Notamacropus eugenii: one gene and its partner. The protein of the gene in region 1 interacts with the protein of each later gene in a pairwise test. Links are inferred from orthologs where the notes say so. Each region holds a gene or a part of one and is shown in the gene's direction. Other genes may lie near its edges.

Region 1 (3,748 bases):
AGGTGTCTGAGAGAACAGTGGTTCCTTCAACAGAGATAGGGAAAATAGGGACTCAGAAGGGTGGGGGTGAGCAAGGTGGGAAGGAGGGAATTAGGATTTGAAACTAAAATAAAATTTAATTAGATTTTTCTTAAAGAAGCCTAGGAAATGATTTTAATGTGGAAGGCTTGGGTGACTGGGAGAAAAGAGAGACCATCAGTTGTTGTGTTCGTCCTTCGTTTTTTGAAGAGGACCATGACATCAATAGGGAAACACAGGTGGCATGGGGGTAGGAGGGAAGATAATATGATGACTTCTGTTTTGGACATGTTGACTTTGAGGTGCTTGAAGGGCATATGATTTATATCCGGTTGGCAGCTGGTGGTACCAGACTAGAGCTGAATACACAGGTGAGTACGTGCACTGTATAAATTATGTATACGTATATTGTATATAATACATGCGTATTCGGTTCGAATCTTTCCTGAACTCCACCAGCTGCCCATAGGCTATCATCTCTGCGCAGAGATCATTGCTGAATCTATGGAAGCTGATGAGTTCACCAAGAAAACAGGTAGGGAAAGAAAAGCAGAGAGAAAACAGTCTTGTCCACAGCAGGCGAATCATCGATGCGGGTCGAATGAATGAGCTAACCGGCAGGTAAGCCCACTGGGTTCAGGTGTCTACCTGTTCCCACACCGGCTAGGTGACGTGGGCCTGGCTTGCCCTCTCTGTCCATCAAAGGTGACGGGATCAATGTTCCCTTCTGAGGAGGGTTTAGAACACCTGCCAGCAGAGGTCCACGGCCCCCCCTCCAGTCCAGCCCAGGCCAGCCACACCTCCGGCCAGAGGCGGCCCTCCCGGCAGCCCCGGCTCCAGGGCCCCGCCCTCTCTCAGGATTGGCTGCGCCGGGCCTCGCTTTGCGCTCAGCGATTGGCCGCGGTGCCCGTCGGTCCGCCGAGCTGGGCCCCCGGCTGCTGAAGACGGAGCCATGAGCGGAAGGGCCTGAGCTCGGCTCCCAGCTTCGGCTTCGCACCCACTGCGGCGGCGGCGGCGGCGGCCCGGGAGCTGGGGCTGAGCCCTGAGCGCCGCCCGCCCGCCGGCCCAGACAGCCGCGGGGAGGGCAGGTGAGGCGGCAGGGAGGCGGGGAGTGGTCGGGCCGGGGCGCGAGCCCCGGACGGGGAGCCGGGGGCCGGGACCCGGGACCCAAGGCGGGTGGGGAGTGAGGCGCCGGGTCCTCCTGGGAGGAAGGGGAGGGGGCGGAGGGAGGGCGCGAGCCTTCGGCTGGGCCCGGGGGGCTGCGGCAGCCGGGGCAGGGCCGGGCGGGCTGCGGGCCCCGGGAGGCCGGCTGCTCCTGGCACCGCGCCCCGCTCCTCCTCCCTGCCCGGAGAGTGCCGCATTCTGTCTGTCGGAGGCGCCGGAGGGACCCGCGCCCGTGCCAGCGCCGGAGCCGGGCCAAGGCTGGGTCCGGGGCGCAGCATCGCGAGGCGGGACCCCAGCGCCGCCTCTCCCGCCCCGCCTGCCTGCGTGACCTTGGGCCGGCCCCTGCCGCCTCCTCTTTGGCACTCGGTAAAACGAGGGGTTTGGCCTCAACGATCCCAAGACCCCGCTAGCCCCAGATCTTCGCATCCCATCCCCCTTGGGGCTGCGGGACACCCAGGTACGCCTGTGTGCAGCCCTGGTGCCTCCCTTCCCAGCTGTCATTCTTGGGCTTCCTCTTTCCCCCTCCCCCCATCTAGAGCCTCCCTGGGGACCACTGCCTCCCACTCCACAGTCCTGTGCTTGATCTTGAAGTGCTCGTGCTTTTCATCCCTCCCTCACACTCATTCGGTGAAAAGGTAAAATGAGGAAAACATACCTGTCACCTAGACTGAAGCCTCCTCTCTTCCCCCGATTCTTCAGTTATCATTGAAGAATTGCATAGCATAGCAGACTCAGCCGTAAGTGACCCTATTTCACATTAGTCCTAGTGTGTAAAGTGTTTGACTTCCAACAACCCTGGGAAGTAGGTAGAGCTCGAGTTATTCCCATTTTACAGAGTAGGGAACTGTGACTCAGAGGTCTTAAATGATATGCCTGAAGTCACACAGTTTAGCAAGACGCAGAATGGAAATCAAACCCTGGTCAGACCCTCTTGGCATATCTCCTAGGAGCCTTACCATCCACCAGTTTCTCAGACTCTCTGTGCTGAACAGTATTTGTAGAGAACTGGAATGAGGGACTGAGGCCTTAGGCAAAGTTGTATTATTGCTCCTGTGGACCCCTCATCAGCATTAGTACATTTTAAGCATCTTGAATTAGATATTTTCCCAGTTTCTTCCTAGGGAACCTGGTAGGCTAAGTGAGTGAGTGAGGCAGAAATGTCTTCCAGGAAGAACCTTGTCTGCTCATCTCAAGCAGAAATTTAGGGTTGTTTAACAGCAGAAATGATTTGGCTCTTAATTGAAATATCTTATTTCAGACTAACTTTTATGTGGATTTAAGTAAATGACCTCTTAAAATTTTTCCCCCCTGTTCTGCCTGATTTGTTGCTACTTTTTAGATCCTGATACATTTCCTTTTGTTGGTAAATTTCCAGAACCAATAGTGAGATGAATGTTAACACTGACAATCTTTTAGCCAGTAATTTGCTACAATTCAAGAAAACATTTAACCCTGATTCAGTTAAGGTTCTTTATTTTTACAATGTAATTTTTTTTCCTTTCAGAGGTCTTCCTTATAAGTTAAAAATCCCATTTTAGTGGTCTTCCCTGGGGAAATTTTGATTTTCTTGAACATGTCATTTTATTCTCAAACTGTTACCAATTTAAATAAACAAGATCAAATTATCAGACCATTTAAATATTAGGTAAATTCATATTTGTCTCAATAGTAATTCAAGTCACATTTATTCCATTTCATAGCATTTGAAATTCATTGACCCAGATGTCACATACAGAACATTTATCAGTCTCTATCAAAGTTTCCAGAGCTAAGCACAATTCAGGCTTTAATTTCAACTTCTTTTTTCTTTATAATATTTACTGGTCTAACAGTGGTGAGGCCTATTTTCCCAAGCATATGAGAAATAGGATATCTTTTTTTTACATACTTGCCTTAGTAACTGAATTGTAACAATGAATAGATACATGTTCTTATATGCTATTAACTGTACTAAGAATCTAAATAATTGTCTAAAATCTTGTGAAATTTTGCCAAGTTAGAGTAGGGAAGGGGAAGGAATTCATGCAGATTTTCTATTGGCATTTGAGTTTGAAAAGTCACATCCCCTTGAGAATAATTCACCTATTTCCTTAACACTTGAAGAAATTAAATATTGAATATTAAAGTAGCATTTGATGTACATTTAACCTTATTTTAAATATTCCCTTATTAATCCAGGTACTTCCTCATATTATTTTTATAATTTCTTATATCAACATATTTTGTTAGGATGACTTCCTTAAAACTCTATCTGCCCCCATAGTTCCCTATAAAAAGTTAAGCAATGCTACCTAATATAGTGGTTTCAATTGACAATACATGTCATTTTCTATTTTTGTGGTTTATTGTTTAACAAAAATTAAGAATACATGCTTTAATTTTAATAATTTGAAATCAACATTGTCTATTGTATTTAGCTTTAGTTTTGCTGCCTTTTCGTGTTACCTTTAATACACAATGACTTTGGATCATAAATTTAGACCTGGAAGATACTTTGAGTCCATCAAGTCCTGTTCTTTCATTTTACAGATGAGGGATCTTGTAAATTTGGCAGGGATTTGGCTTT
Region 2 (3,748 bases), on another chromosome or scaffold:
CACAGTGATTTGGGTCCTTAATAGCGAAATCATGCGTGTAAACCCCAAGATATCTCGCGGAGTTCCAGAGATCAAAATGTATATTCCTTTGGACAAAGTATCTGCAGGTAAGGGGATGGTAGTTTTGAACTATATGTATGTGTGTCTTTATTTGCACACGCATATATGCAATTACATATGTATGTATGTATATACATATACACACATCTACACACACATCTATCTATATATACAAACACACATATGCTTAATAACTGCTTGCTGACGCTGTGCCTAAATCCAGATAAGAAATGAGGACTTGGATTCGGGTGGTAGCTGTGAGAACTGAGAGTGCTCAGTTGAGAAATAATAGGTTAATTCAGTTTTAGAGTTGGCAAGTTGGTTGAACTTGGCCCACCGGGGCATGAAAATGCCATGAGAACTAATTTTTTAAAAATCTTGCTTGAAATGGGGAGGGCTCCAGTCTAGGAGCACCTGACAGCAGCATCTGTTTCTCCCCTATTAGCCTGGCCAGACGGAGAGGCGCCAGATTAGGGCCCGGTCACCTCCCTTTCTCTGCAAATCTGCACCCTGGTACCCTCTCCTAGGACCCGAGGGGTCCGCCCACCCCTGCCATTCCTGCCCCGAGCGTCGAACGGAGCCGAGAAGAGGCGGGGCTGGGGGCGGGAGCAGAGCAGCGGAGCTCGTACCCTCTCCCGGGCTGAGTGGCTCCGCCCACCACCTCCATTCCCGCCTATAGCGTCCGGCAGAGCGGGAAGGGGCGGAGCAAAGCTTGCTTCCTCGTGCCCACTCTCGGACAGAGTAGGCTCCGCCCCCCTCCTCCCCTCTCCCCAGCCATTCCCGCTTATAGTATCTGGCGGGGCTGGAAAGGGGGCGGGGCTCAGCGGAGGGACATCTCTGACCGCGGGCTGAAGGCGGTCGCGCTCGGGGCTTCTGCTGCAACTCACCGGTTAGTGCCCGCCGAGGTAAGGGGACTGGGGCCGGCGTCGGGGCTCTCCGGGCTGTGCCCGCCGCGGCTTCCTCGCCCCGCTCAAGGCTGCGCTGGGGCGCCGCGTCACGTGGCTTACGCGCGCTCTTGTCTTTGGGGGGTCTCCGAGGGTCCCGGGGTTCTAAGTGTGGGGGGGTGTTGCCGTGGAGACTAGCAACTAACGGGTAGCCCGTGGGAGAGGGTCTCAGACACCCCCCCCACGGAGATTTCCCGCCCTCTCTGTGTCCTGCAAAGCGGAAGGGTCCCCCCTCCCCCAGATCAGCGTGGCCGGACCTGCTGCGCCCGCGCCCCCCGACCTTGGGCGAGTTCAAAGCCCTGGACCCCAGCCTCCCCGGGATGCTGGGGAGCTCTCCTTGCAGCCCGGGTGTGACTCCGGGGCTGCGGTTCCTCACGTGGCGGCTGAACTTGGTGGATTTATTGTTTTCCTGTTTAGATACTGTATCTCGCCAGAGCTGGTTTCGGTTGTAATCTTGTATATTTCATTTCGTGCATTTGTTCACCAAAGATATACAGATTAGATACAAAAAAATCTCCCCCCCCAATAAAAAAGGTGGCCCTCTGGGGGACCTTCGATGATTTAGAAGCTATGGAGAGGTGAGGAGAGAAAGGACCTGGGGCTTCTTTGCACATCTGGCACCAGGTGGGACTGGAAACACAAGTTCGGGCGCCCGGCTGCATGTCTTACTAGCAGAGAACCAGATTGGCTTCTGGTGAATGAGCCGATTTCCGCTCTTTCCCCCCAAAGCCAAGGTCAAGTATATTAGGCCAAAGATTACACATGCCCAGGAAGATCACCTTAAAAGGGTGGTGATGAATTGGGGTCTTTCACCTGACCTGGTTTCTTTGCGTGTGTTGCCTATCCGAAAGTAGGTGGAAGATTTCGGAGGGATGGATTTCGTACTTTTTCTTTTCAAGCTGAGGGGAAAGTGTGTGCATGTGTCTTCCGGAGTTCTGATCTTCTGTCCTCCGGGGACAGGCTGCTTGTCTGAACGTGGGGAGTACTGGACTGGATTGAAAGAAAGCTTTCCAGATCTTGTCTCTGGCGCTTAGTAGCCTTGTACCTTGTCTGAGCCTCACTACTTAGATCTAAGATTTCTCTCGCTAAAGATTCGCAGCAATATGGATTGGGGGGAGAATTTTCCTACCAGGAAGAAATTCCAGTTGCTTGCTACTGTCCCCAGAGCCTGGTTGTGTTCGTGTAGTAGATTACTGGAGAAGCGCAGCATTTAGAGCTGGAAGGAATCTCAGGTCATTTAAATCAATCCACTCGTTTTATAGATAAACTAAGGTTACACAGGAAGTGACTGATGGCGATACTTCTCGGACTCCAAATCTCTGTGCTTTTCTTGAGTGAATGGATGAATGATACCTTTTCCTAAACTTATGCTGTCTTCTTCCACCTGGTTTTGATTCCCCTCTGTTCTATACAAATTGAGTTTAACATTGCTGACCTTTGGGTTTTAACATTTCTGCGGTAACTTTACCCCCAGGGAACTCAACAGAAGTAACCCAAGGCAGAGTATTTCACTGAGTACTTGTATAAATGACAAAATATTCACCATCAAGGTGCAACTCTGTCTTGAGGCTTAGACTTTTATTTTAGGGGAAGAAGCTTAGTCTGGTGTTTCAAAAAAGCAAGCTGATAGCAAAGATCCAGAGTCCAGCTTATAAATCTTGTGTCTTGTGCTAGTAGATAAGCCTAGCCCTTGTGTTTTCCTTGAATGAAGAGGGTGTGAATGAATTATTCAGTAGTTAGAGGGATTGGGGCAGGACTGTGAGTAGTGATGTAGTGAGTGAAATCCTTCCTTCCCTCCTTCCTTTTTTCCCCTCTTTCCTTACCCTCCTCCCTCCTTTTCTCCTTCCCTCCTCTCCCTCTGTCCACATAGGATATCATACCCTTACCTTTGTGTGCTCTGCCCAAAGAAATGTAAATTTGGTCACTGAAACGTCAAAAGATATCTTGGGGTTTACAGGCTATATTTCTTTCTTAAAGACCATGCCTTAAACCTACATCACTCTGACTTTCTTTGATTGACCAACAGTAGGTCCCAACCCAAGCCTCACTTGGTCATTGTTTGGGTCCTGATGGCCCAGAGCTAGGGTAAATAGCAATTGTTCCTGTTTTGGCCAGAAACCCAGAAACTTTGCACTATCCTCCCTCACTTAAATCCAATTCACTTGCAAGTCATAACATCACCTTTCTGATGTCTTGGTCTTTTCTGAGAAGGAAGGACAAAAACATGTCATGGTATCAACTTGAAAGTTACTAGGTTTGATTAGATTTGGTGCAACAAAAGTTGATATTGCTAAGTTAGGTTGATAGCACTTCCTCCATCCTTACACATTGACAACTGCTTCAAAGTTTTGAGTCTTAAAAGAGTTTGCCTAGGATAAATGACTTGGCCAGTATGTATCAGTCAGGTCTTAAACTCAGGTTTTCCTGACTCAAGAAATAGCCTCTTTTGTACTCTCCATGCCCATTCAGTGCTCTCAGTACCCACTCTTGCCTCGCTTAGATTTCTGTTCTCTCTTAGATCCTTCTTAACTTTTCTTTGAACATATTCTCATCTAGTGACACTGATGAAATATTTTTTGTCATGAATCAAAGGACTTATTGTCCAACAGAGAAATAAATAGCTTTGTGAAAGTGAGTTAGGAAATAGGCTGTTGGAACACAAGCCCTTTAAAGACAGGTCTGCCACTTAGCAGAGGGCATTTCTCATTGGACTTTAATTATTTGGTGACTGGGAAATGCTGCTT

Evidence for each region.
Region 2: the proteins of MAPK9 (region 1) and SHMT1 interact in binary tests that used the Homo sapiens proteins (3 or more experiments, as listed by UniProt). The two-hybrid records come from large-scale screens. The link is inferred for Notamacropus eugenii from reciprocal best matches to the Homo sapiens genes MAPK9 and SHMT1.

The regions. Positions count from the first base shown.
Region 1 is NC_092872.1:415,961,219-415,964,966, forward strand, and holds the start of MAPK9 (mitogen-activated protein kinase 9), read left to right. Parts: upstream 1-934; 5' UTR 935-1,106; intron 1,107-3,748. UniProt on the Homo sapiens protein: Serine/threonine-protein kinase involved in various processes such as cell proliferation, differentiation, migration, transformation and programmed cell death.
Region 2 is NC_092874.1:335,899,160-335,902,907, reverse strand, and holds the start of SHMT1 (serine hydroxymethyltransferase, cytosolic), read left to right. Parts: upstream 1-841; 5' UTR 842-965; intron 966-3,748. UniProt on the Homo sapiens protein: Interconversion of serine and glycine.